Linked DNA regions of Mus musculus. The protein of the gene in region 1 binds, or shares a complex with, the protein of each later gene. Links are inferred from orthologs where the notes say so. Each region holds a gene or a part of one and is shown in the gene's direction. Other genes may lie near its edges. The genes, in order: Tbp, Taf10 and Taf4.

Evidence for each region.
Region 2: Tbp (region 1) and Taf10 share a complex: the UniProt entries of both Homo sapiens proteins name them as parts of the TFIID basal transcription factor complex. The link is inferred for Mus musculus from reciprocal best matches to the Homo sapiens genes TBP and TAF10.
Region 3: Tbp (region 1) and Taf4 share a complex: the UniProt entries of both Homo sapiens proteins name them as parts of the TFIID basal transcription factor complex. The link is inferred for Mus musculus from reciprocal best matches to the Homo sapiens genes TBP and TAF4.

What each region holds. Positions count from the first base shown.
Region 1 is NC_000083.6:15,502,888-15,506,540, forward strand, and holds part of Tbp (TATA-box-binding protein), read left to right. Parts: intron 1-77; 5' UTR 78-187; coding exon 188-241; intron 242-1,386; coding exon 1,387-1,760; intron 1,761-3,653. UniProt on the Homo sapiens protein: The TFIID basal transcription factor complex plays a major role in the initiation of RNA polymerase II (Pol II)-dependent transcription.
Region 2 is NC_000073.6:105,742,357-105,745,338, reverse strand, and holds Taf10 (transcription initiation factor TFIID subunit 10), read left to right. Parts: upstream 1-1,000; 5' UTR 1,001-1,020; coding exon 1,021-1,252; intron 1,253-1,354; coding exon 1,355-1,509; intron 1,510-1,846; coding exon 1,847-1,911; intron 1,912-1,998; coding exon 1,999-2,113; intron 2,114-2,275; coding exon 2,276-2,365; 3' UTR 2,366-2,445; downstream 2,446-2,982. Other genes in the region: Ilk (integrin-linked protein kinase), read right to left, coding at 2,677-2,826. UniProt on the Homo sapiens protein: The TFIID basal transcription factor complex plays a major role in the initiation of RNA polymerase II (Pol II)-dependent transcription.
Region 3 is NC_000068.7:179,921,136-179,924,788, reverse strand, and holds part of Taf4 (transcription initiation factor TFIID subunit 4), read left to right. Parts: intron 1-202; coding exon 203-372; intron 373-679; coding exon 680-810; intron 811-1,709; coding exon 1,710-1,835; intron 1,836-2,821; coding exon 2,822-2,878; intron 2,879-3,517; coding exon 3,518-3,637; intron 3,638-3,653. UniProt on the Homo sapiens protein: The TFIID basal transcription factor complex plays a major role in the initiation of RNA polymerase II (Pol II)-dependent transcription.

The sequences.
Region 1 (3,653 bases):
AATAGTTCTGTGTTTATTTTGTGTGAACATGAAACCTATGTCCATCTATTAAACTTAAAACATATTTTTCCAAGCAGCATCACTATTTCATGGTGTGTGAAGATAACCCAGAACATTGAAGACGTTTCTAAGGAGATATTCAGAGGATGCTCTAGGGAAGATCTGAGTACTGAAGAAAGGGAGAATCATGGACCAGAACAACAGCCTTCCACCTTATGCTCAGGGCTTGGCCTCCCCACAGGTAATAGAGCAAGAGGGAGGGGCAGAGAGGGCTCATATTCCCTTTAAGAGAAAGCAAAAGACAGTGACATTTACCATGCAGTAGTGAACGTGGATTTTTAGGTTTTTAAGCTTGTTTTACTTTGTGAAGATTTCTGAGTTAGATAGCTGTGATGTTCTTTTGTTTGGGAAGTTTAGTTGGAACCTAATTAATTAGAAGACTCTCTATGAGCTGTAGAGCATTTATCTTATTTACTCCAATAAATAAATTTATTGCTCCTGTTGCAGTCACTTTCCTATCCTGATTACTACCAAATCTGCTTTCAAAATTAAACATTGGTTTTGATGCTAAACATGTGCACGTATGTGTGTATGTGTTTGCAATAGAATTAGACCTAGATTGTTACCAATTCCATATACATTTTACCATCTCCAGTGTTCTTCTGCCTCCACATAAATAATTAGTTCTACTTTATTTTTATAAATAAAATGTTTAATTATAATTAAATATATGTAAGACATAGAAGCATTATAGAAAAGGCAGTTGACAGTATTTTACAGACTTTGTTGATTTTTGTTTTTAGTAGAATAAATTACTTTTTATTAAATAGTATGATAGAGGCATCCATGAGTCTGTCATCCATCATCCATGTGATCCGTCGTCCAAAACTGACACGTGCTTAGTCAGTGGATAATCATCATATATTAAATAGTACTTTGTGGGTGGGGGTGGGGTTGAGACAGGGTTTCTCTATGTAACAACATCCCTCAAACTTGCGTTGTAAATCAGGCTAGCTTCAAACTCACAGAGATCCACTTGCCTCTGCCTCCAGAGCTAGGATTAAAGACGTGCCACCATGCCTGGGTACTGGGCAGTACTTTAAATTGGGACATAGGCTTTTTTCTTTATGGTCTAGATACACATGAGAGGCTAAACATCTTCCTTGCATATCATAAATAACATTTTCAAATCCTAAGTGTTCATCTTCTATGGTCAGTACTACAGAAGATAGTTGTGCATCTCAGGATACAAATTCTTCCCTAGTATTTAATGACCTATTATATTCAGAAAACATTAGTCTTTTTACTTTACTTGGGTTTCACTAGGGAAAAACCTAAATTACTCACCATCAGTATCTTAATCATTGCTCTCTTTGCTTTCCACAGGGCGCCATGACTCCTGGAATTCCCATCTTTAGTCCAATGATGCCTTACGGCACAGGACTTACTCCACAGCCTATTCAGAACACCAACAGTCTCTCTATTTTGGAAGAGCAACAAAGACAGCAGCAGCAACAGCAACAGCAGCAGCAACAACAGCAGGCAGTAGCAACTGCAGCAGCCTCAGTACAGCAATCAACATCTCAGCAACCCACACAGGGTGCCTCAGGCCAGACCCCACAACTCTTCCATTCTCAAACTCTGACCACTGCACCGTTGCCAGGCACCACCCCCTTGTACCCTTCACCAATGACTCCTATGACCCCTATCACTCCTGCCACACCAGCTTCTGAGAGCTCTGGAATTGTACCGCAGCTTCAGTGAGTACCTCTCACACCACCCCAGCCCCTGTGCGTAACAGTGAGTGCATGCGCGTATGTATTCATGCGTTTTCTGTTGTGTTCCTTGTCCTCTGTCCCCTGCCCTTTGTCTCTGCACCAAAGGAGGCGCTCAGTGTTATTGTACTGTTTGCTTCCAGACACTGGATTTACTTAAGGAAGTGGCCCAGTGGTAATTCTGTTATACTGTGACTTTATCTGTTCTTGTAGGAATTGAAGCTACAGAGTGGGTCAGTACTCTCAGCAGAGACTTTCCCTTAGAAATGGAGTTGCTTGTGTTTGTGTATTCGGGCCACAGAAATGCAAACTGAGCTTCAGTGATACTGTGGACATTTCCTTGTAGCTAATTGGCTGAGTCACTGGCCAGTTGGATCACAGCTTTGACTGTATCAGCACAGGTCTTAGGGGTCCAGGATTTTCTTCAGTTTTGGCTGTGAGGGCTGTATTTATATCTTTGGAGATCTATGTCACTCTCAGAGTAGGGATAGCAGTTCTTATCTTGATGAATTTTTCTGCCTAAGTAAAGTATTTCCCACATGTAAAAAAGGTGGGAGATTCAGGCTTTTTTCTTCCTCAAACAGCCCAAACTTTCCAGATACCATTTAGTAACAAGAATCTAGCTTTACTTTAAGAAAGCTTAAAGGCTGATTAAAGAGTTCTTTGCAGACAACACTATTTGGGTTTTGTGTTTAGTAACTCCACCTTCCTACTTTCAGCGTTGTTTCCTATTTACACTTAGCTTTCTGCATATATATCGTCATTTGTAAGCCATGCCACCTCATTTTTAAGCTAAGTGGCATAACCTGATTCTACCTTGGCTGTACACAATTTTAAGGTGACTTTTGAGTTTAAAGAGATAAGCCCTATAAGCACTCCTTTTGTTTGTACTGTTGTAAACTATTTCTTTATGCCTGTTTGACGTCCACAGGCATTCAGGCTCATACTTCTGATTAAAATCATTTGTGAGAGTCAGCTTAGGACATACACTTTTTTCCATATCCACAGAGCATGCAATCAACCACATTACTGTTTCCATTATCTAAAAACATTCCTTATTAGGTGTCAGTTCAGCAGCCTTATAAAGAATTCAGGTAAATATTTAACTTTTTTTTAAATTTATTATTTTATTATCTACATTCCAAATGTTACCCCCTTCCCAATATTTAACTTTCTAAAATAACACATTTATCATTTGCATGGCTAAATTTGTGACAGGCGCACCAAAGTGTACCTGAAAATTCACTTCACGTATGGGCATGCTGAGTCAAACCCATTTTTAAGTAAAACAAGAATTTTTCTTAGTATTTCTTAGGTTGGGGGGAAATAGATATTGGAAAATTGAAAACATTTGATCTACCTCACTTTCTGATTATGTACTAGAGAAAACTAGTCCAGTAAAATTTAATTTTTAAATTAAATTTTTGGGGGTTTTTTTGAGACTGTCTCACGTGATAAAGCTGGCTAGGGTGGTGCTGTCTATGGAATATAAGCTAGCTGCTTTGAATTCTTGAGAATACTCCTGCCTAAGCCTCCCACCGTGTTGCCTTGCTGTTCAGCAAGACTTTGAGTCACAAGATTTCAAAAGTATTCTTTGTAGAGAGTAAAAAGAGAGCAGGGAGCAACAATGAACTAGAGCTGGTTGTCTGGAGTTCTTGTGTAACAGTTGATGGTCTATTAATTGCATTTGATGGCATTGTTCATTTCAGGTCTGTCTACTTTGAAAGACCTAGAAAACTACAGAAAAAGTTGAGTTTGCTATGTTTCAGTTTTTATTAAAAGTTCTAGGCCAGGTGGTGGAAGCACATGCCTTTAATCCCAGCACTGAAGAAGCAGGGGCAGGCAGACCTCTGTGTGTTCCAGGACAACCTGGTCTAC
Region 2 (2,982 bases), on another chromosome or scaffold:
TCTGAGTTTGAGGCCATCCTGGTCTATATAAAGAGTTCCAGACAAGCCAGGCCTACATAGTCAGACCATGTCTCAAAAATACACATATGTGCACACACACACATGCACAAAATACTGCATTATCTTTGAGCCCATGTTCTTTTTTCTTCTAAACTGCAGGAAGCACTTGGGGAGAGGAAAGGCTTCCGAAGCCCCTCATCTTCCAAACCAAGCAGTCTATGTATTTGTGCAAACCCTTCAAAGATTACTGGGTAAAAGTCAGAGACATTGAAACTTGCCTTCAAAATCGGGAAATAAACATTGCTAATGTCTCACACTTGGAATTAAGCAATGAATGTTAGTTTCCCTTTCTTCTTTGCACTGCACCTACATGTAGCTGGGAAACAATCATACAGTATTGAAATTGTCAGTTTGTTTGCCTTCCTTTTCCAGACAGTCGGTGCTAGTGAACTAGAATCTGATTCTTAACTTTGTATTCCTAGGTCCCAGCCCAAATAGAAATTAAATAAATGACTGTTTAAAAAAAAAGTCTGTTGTATTGTAAATGTGTTTCACACAAGACTTTGGCATGCTATTTCTTCAGGGTAAAACACCCATCTCTACATTTACAGAGGTACTCTCCTAAGCCCGTTGTGGGTGGGAGGGACACACATCAAATCCACTGCAACCCTTAAAAGACCATGAAAGGGAACTACAAAGAATGCATGAAGACCGTCAGGAGACTGGTAATGAAGTGTCTGGCAGATGAGTCCCCAAGCCAGGTCGTTGAACGAACCCAGATAAAGTATTCAGTCCTGGATGCTCTGCGGCCCCACCCGGGCCGGGGTGGAACCGCAGGGTGGCAGCCACATCTCACACAGCTCGCCTCCGCCTTGAAGTCTACACCTCATCCACTAACAGCCAACCTAAGGTCGCCCGCGGCAGCTTAGAGTGGTGGGCGGGAACTGTAACGTCACGCAGCGTGCGCCTGGGCGAGCGGAAGCGGAAGCGGCTCTGTTCGCCGCCTTTCCCACCGGCCCCATGAGCTGCAGCGGCTCCGGCGCGGACCCCGAGGCGGCGACCGCCTGTGCCGCCTCGGTCGCGGGTCCGGCACCCCTGGTGTCGGCTCCCGCTGCGCTGCCCACTAGCACGGCCGCGGAGAGCAAGGCCAGCCCCGCGGGGACAGCAGGGGGCCCCGTGGCTGGAGTCGCCACTGCGGGCACGGGCCCCGTGGCGGCACGGGCAGGGGAGCCGGCAGAGCGGCGCGGGCCAGGTGAGGGAGGGCCGGGCCGGGTGAGGGAGGAGGGCATCTCGGACTAGGTGCCGGGGCAGGGGAACCCTGCGCCTCTCACCTGTGCTGTTGATTCTCCTTCAGCTTCGGTGGCAGCGGGCGGCGCGGCTCCCCCGGAGGGGGCAATGTCTAACGGGGTTTACGCCCTACCGAGCGCGGCCAACGGAGAAGTGAAGCCCGTAGTGTCCAGCACACCTCTAGTGGACTTCTTGATGCAGTTGGAGGATTACACACCTACGGTGCGCTTCCCACCTGAACAAGGCCACCTGGCTCGCTGTCAATGCCTTTGAACCACACCTTCGTTCTTTCAAGCTTTCTCTGCTATGAAGCCATCTCTTTTGTTGTTTGTTTTTTCGCGACAGGGTTTCTCTGTGTAGCCCTGGCTGTCCTGGAACTCACTTTGTAGACCAGGCTGGCTTTGAACTCAGAAATCCGCCTGCCTCTGCCTCCCAGGTGCTGGGATTAAAGGCGTGTGCCACCACTGCCTGGCATGAAGCTATCTCTTTAGTCCTCCGTCCCAGCCAGCGCATCAATAGGCAGATCTAACACTGATGGCTGTTTAATTTGATTTTTCAGATCCCAGATGCAGTGACTGGTTACTACCTGAACCGCGCTGGCTTTGAAGCTTCAGACCCACGCATGTGAGTAAACTCGGAGCAGGTTAGACTGTTGAGTGCTAGGTGGAGTTTGCTAAATATTCTCATTACTACCACCCTCTTCCTCTCTAGAATTCGGCTCATCTCACTAGCTGCCCAGAAATTCATCTCAGATATTGCCAATGATGCCCTACAGCACTGCAAAATGAAGGGCACAGCCTCTGGCAGCTCCCGGAGCAAGAGCAAGGTGTGAGAGGCTCACCTTCCACTGCAGTACAGGCCTAACTTATCCTGAAAGCCTTTTGGGGAAGCAGAATCCTAGGGGAGGTATTGGGCCTGCTCAGGGTCACCCACAAAGGATTGGAGTCTGCACTTGTGCTCAGCTGGTGGTCTTCCCTCTTTCCCCCAGGATCGCAAGTACACCCTAACCATGGAGGACTTGACCCCTGCCCTCAGCGAGTATGGCATCAATGTGAAGAAGCCGCACTACTTCACCTGAGCCACGCAACCCAGATGTATTTGTCTTTCCCTCTGTCCCCACACGAGCCTGTTTTCATAATAAACTTTATTGTGACAGGCGGGGCTGATCCCTCCCATGTTGGGAGACATCATGTGGCAAGTGACAAAGCTCTGAGCCCAGCCCCTTTTGGGGCTACAGTGGTAGGGATGGGAGCAGGGAACAAGTCCCATAACTGGGGTAGTACCATGATTAGAGACAGGGGAGGCAACCAGAGGTCTTTAACTTTGGAGAAGTGTACTCCCCCAGCCATGTTTTGACACTTCTGGAGTTTGGGCAAGGACCTGAAGGTCCTACTTGTCCTGCATCTTCTCCAAGATAGGCACAATCATGTCAAACTTGGGTCGCTTTGCAGGGTCTTCATTCATGCAAATCTTCATGAGCTTACACACATGGGGGGAAATACCTGGTGGGATGGTAGGCCGAAGGCCTTCCAGTGCCACCTGCAAATTACAAGGAATAAGGTGAGCTTCAGAATTTGAGTTCATCATATGGGTAAAAGCCTTTGATCCTTGAATGGTAAGATTACTATTTATCTGTATAAACTGCTGGAAGCGCTTACCACAGTGCTTGTCAGTACCACCACCCCTAAACAAGTA
Region 3 (3,653 bases), on another chromosome or scaffold:
CCTCTGAACACTAATTTTTAAACAAGGCAGCAAAGCACTGTCAGACAAAAGGACAAGGCCAGTGTAGGAACCTCATGTGTGTGTCTGTCCATCTCAGTGTCCCTCTGCTATTCCCTGTCCCCTGCAAGCTGCCACTGAATTAGAACCACCTTAGTGAGTTATGATTCCTTCATGCAACAAGAATGTTCCTCTCCTTTTGCAGGGATGATGATGACATCAATGATGTTGCGTCAATGGCTGGAGTGAACCTGTCTGAAGAAAGTGCAAGGATATTGGCCACAAACTCTGAGTTGGTGGGGACGTTGACCCGATCCTGTAAAGACGACACCTTCCTCCTCCCCGCGCCTTTGCAGAGGAGGATACTGGAGATAGGTACGTTTGAACCAGATGATGTCACTGGGATGCTGTGTGTCCAGATCGCTGTCTGATGTGCTCCATGACTCTGGCAAGACTCAGTCCAACCCTTCTGCAGTAGCTCCACTGCCTTGTCTTGGGCTCACCCCATAGAGGCTCCACTGTTGGTTGGCAGGTAGTAGAAGGTGGGCAGTGGCCATCTGCTTCCTGCTTAGATTGCCTTTGATTGTGCAGAGCAGTAACTAGTGGGTGAGAGAAGCCAGTGCCGTGATAAAGAAAAACTGGGTAAGTACCATAAAGTGCTTTTTTTCTGCATGGCCTGCAGGTAAAAAGCACGGCATCACGGAACTGCATCCAGATGTAGTGAGTTACGTGTCTCATGCCACACAGCAAAGGCTGCAGAATCTTGTAGAAAAAATATCTGAAACGGCTCAGCAGAAAAACTTCTCTTATAAGGTAATGAGGCTGTTTTCCCGGGGAGAATGTTCGTGTTCTCACCTGACCTGGGCTCTCTGGAAGCCTTGTTGTCCTGGTTGTTCCTGTGCTCACTCTTGGCCACACACACTACCTGTAGGAGGTCTTGCATCTGGGCTGGGGATGTGCTCTGCAGTTAGCCTGCTTTGGAAGATGGGGCTGTGAGCTTAAGAGACTATGGAGGGAGTCTTGTATTCTTACTCCTTTTAAAGTGCCCAGTTCCTGTAGCCTGGCCCATTTTGAGCCATGAGCTGCAACTACAGGCTCTTTGCCATGTGGGGTGTGTGTGTGTGTGTGTGTGTGTGTGTGTGTGTGTGTGTGTGTGTGTGTGTGTGAGAGAGAGAGAGAGAGAGAGAGAGAGAGAGAGGGTTTTCGACCAGAATATGTCTTGAGCAATTGCACAGATGAAGGAGTCTGTGTCTGATTCTTTAGAGCAGCTCACTGTGAATTGTCAGCTTTAAAACACTTCTAAAGTTGGAATTGGTAGTGTATACCTTTATTCCTAGTACTTGGGAGGCAGAGGGAAATGGATCTCTTTGAGTTCAAGCACAGCCTTGCCATCTATAAATCGAGTTCCAGGACAGCCAGGGCTACGCAGAGAAGAACAAACAAACATTTCTACACAGAAGGACTTAAATATCTCTTAAAAATGCCAAAGTGTATCAAATGGAAACCTTTTATGGATTTCCTGGTAACTGGATGAGACTTGCTGTCCTTGTGAGGCCATGACTGGAGTGGTGAGGTGTGAGCAGCTGCTACCACCATGGAGCTGTGTACACACTGTCCAGCTGTGCGAGGCACGCTCATAGTTTGTTGAAGTTCCAAATTTGTGGTAGACAGTGTTTTTACTGACTTTTTTTTTTTTTTTTTTTTTTTGGTAGGACGACGACAGATACGAGCAAGCGAGTGATGTCCGGGCTCAGCTCAAATTCTTTGAACAACTGGATCAGATTGAAAAGCAGAGGAAAGATGAGCAGGAGAGGGAGATCTTAATGCGGGCAGCGAAGGCAAGTTACTGTCTCCAGCTCAGGCTCAGCTTGCAGTCTGCCCCTCCTAGCTTCTTACCAGGCACACTGGCTTGTTGTGCTCATACTCTGGAGGGAGGGTATTGTGAGTGGAGCTGGATAGGTGGGGTACTTCAGCTGCCGGAGGATGCACTCCAGTTTGAGATTTGATATAAGAGATGTGGCAGTCCGGCAGTGGTGGCGCACGCCTTTAATCCCAGCACTTGGGAGGCAGAGGCAGGGTGAGTTCCAGGACAGCCAGGGCTATACAGAGAAACCCTGTCTCCAAAAACAAACAAACAAAAAAACCCAACAACAGCAACAAAAAAAGAGATGTGGCTCTCTCATGTTGTTAGTTAATTAATTTAAAAAAGTTTTATTTTTGAAATAAGGTCTTACTTATTATGTAGCTTTGGCTGTCCTGGAACTCGCTATGTAGACCAGGCTGGCCTTGAACTTACAGAGATCTTCCTGCCTCTGCCTTCTGAGTGTTGGGATTAAAGGTGTGTAACACTATGCTTGGTGGTGTGGGCTTCTTTAAGATTCTGACCTCTTCCCTTCCCTGTGGTTCACATTGCCCTTCAGTCAAAGCACTCAGAGCTGAGTGTGGGAACTTTGTGTATGATCAGAGTCATCTAGAGATGTTAATCCCAATGTCAAGATTTTTGTGCAGTAGGAAAGTGACAGTTGAATGCCACCCTCAGCCGCTGAGCCCAGTATGTCTGGAAGCTCTGTCCAGGCTTTCTTTCTCAGTCTACACTGAGTCAGAGGCATATGACAAAACTGGTAGCCATATGCCTAAGGCTCTTACTGCATCTGGGTGGCAGTGAAGACTTTTTTGTTGTTGTTGTTTGGATAGAAACCTTTATAGAATTAGCAGGCACTGTCTCCTGGCTAGGTACTGCTGTAGATTGGACATGGCGCTGTGGGTCAGTGATGCGCATGGAAGGAAGGCATGACTCTTCCCTCTCTCCTTCTTTCAAAAACAGTCTCGATCCAGACAAGAAGACCCAGAGCAATTAAGGTTGAAGCAGAAAGCAAAAGAGGTGAGTTTCTCTGTTTGGACTCCTCACGGCCCTTGCAGCTCATGTTCATGCTCGGTGCCCACAAAGAGAGAGTAGTTAAGAAACCTGGAGTCACTGAAGGTTCACATCCATTGCTTATTCATGCTCTTGGGCGGCCAGGCAGCCCAGGCTCTCTCTCTCTGTGCTGTGTGCATTTGGTTGGAGAGGACCTGTCACTTACTTCTGTGAGGTTAGGCTTCTAAACCCCTTCTAATCTTTTGAGCACTTTAAGGTAAGCTTCTGTTTTAAAAGTTTTGTAATTATTTTGGGTCACAGACATGTCCTTAGTTTAAGAGCCTCAACTTTAAAGAAATTGTAACTTGGGCTGGAGAGATGACTCAGTGGTTAAGAGCACTGACTGCTCTTCTAGAGATCCTGGTTCAATTCCTAGCAACAACATGGTGGCTCACAACCATCTGTAATGGGATCTGGTGCCCTCTTCTGGTGTATCTGAAGACAGCTACAGTGTACTCATATAAATAAAATTTTTAAAAAAATCTTATTTAAAAAAAGAAGTTGTAATTTAGGAAACTTGAGAAAGTTCTTGGTAGCTGTTGATTGCTACATTTGCAGTAAGAACTCTCAAAGCAATGATAGTTCTGTTTCCTTCCCAACATGAAGATGCAGCAGCAGGAGCTGGCACAGATGCGACAACGAGATGCCAACCTCACTGCACTGGCAGCGATCGGGCCCAGGAAAAAGAGGAAAGTGGACTGCACTGGGCCAGGATCAGGAGCAGAGGTACAGCAGAACATGA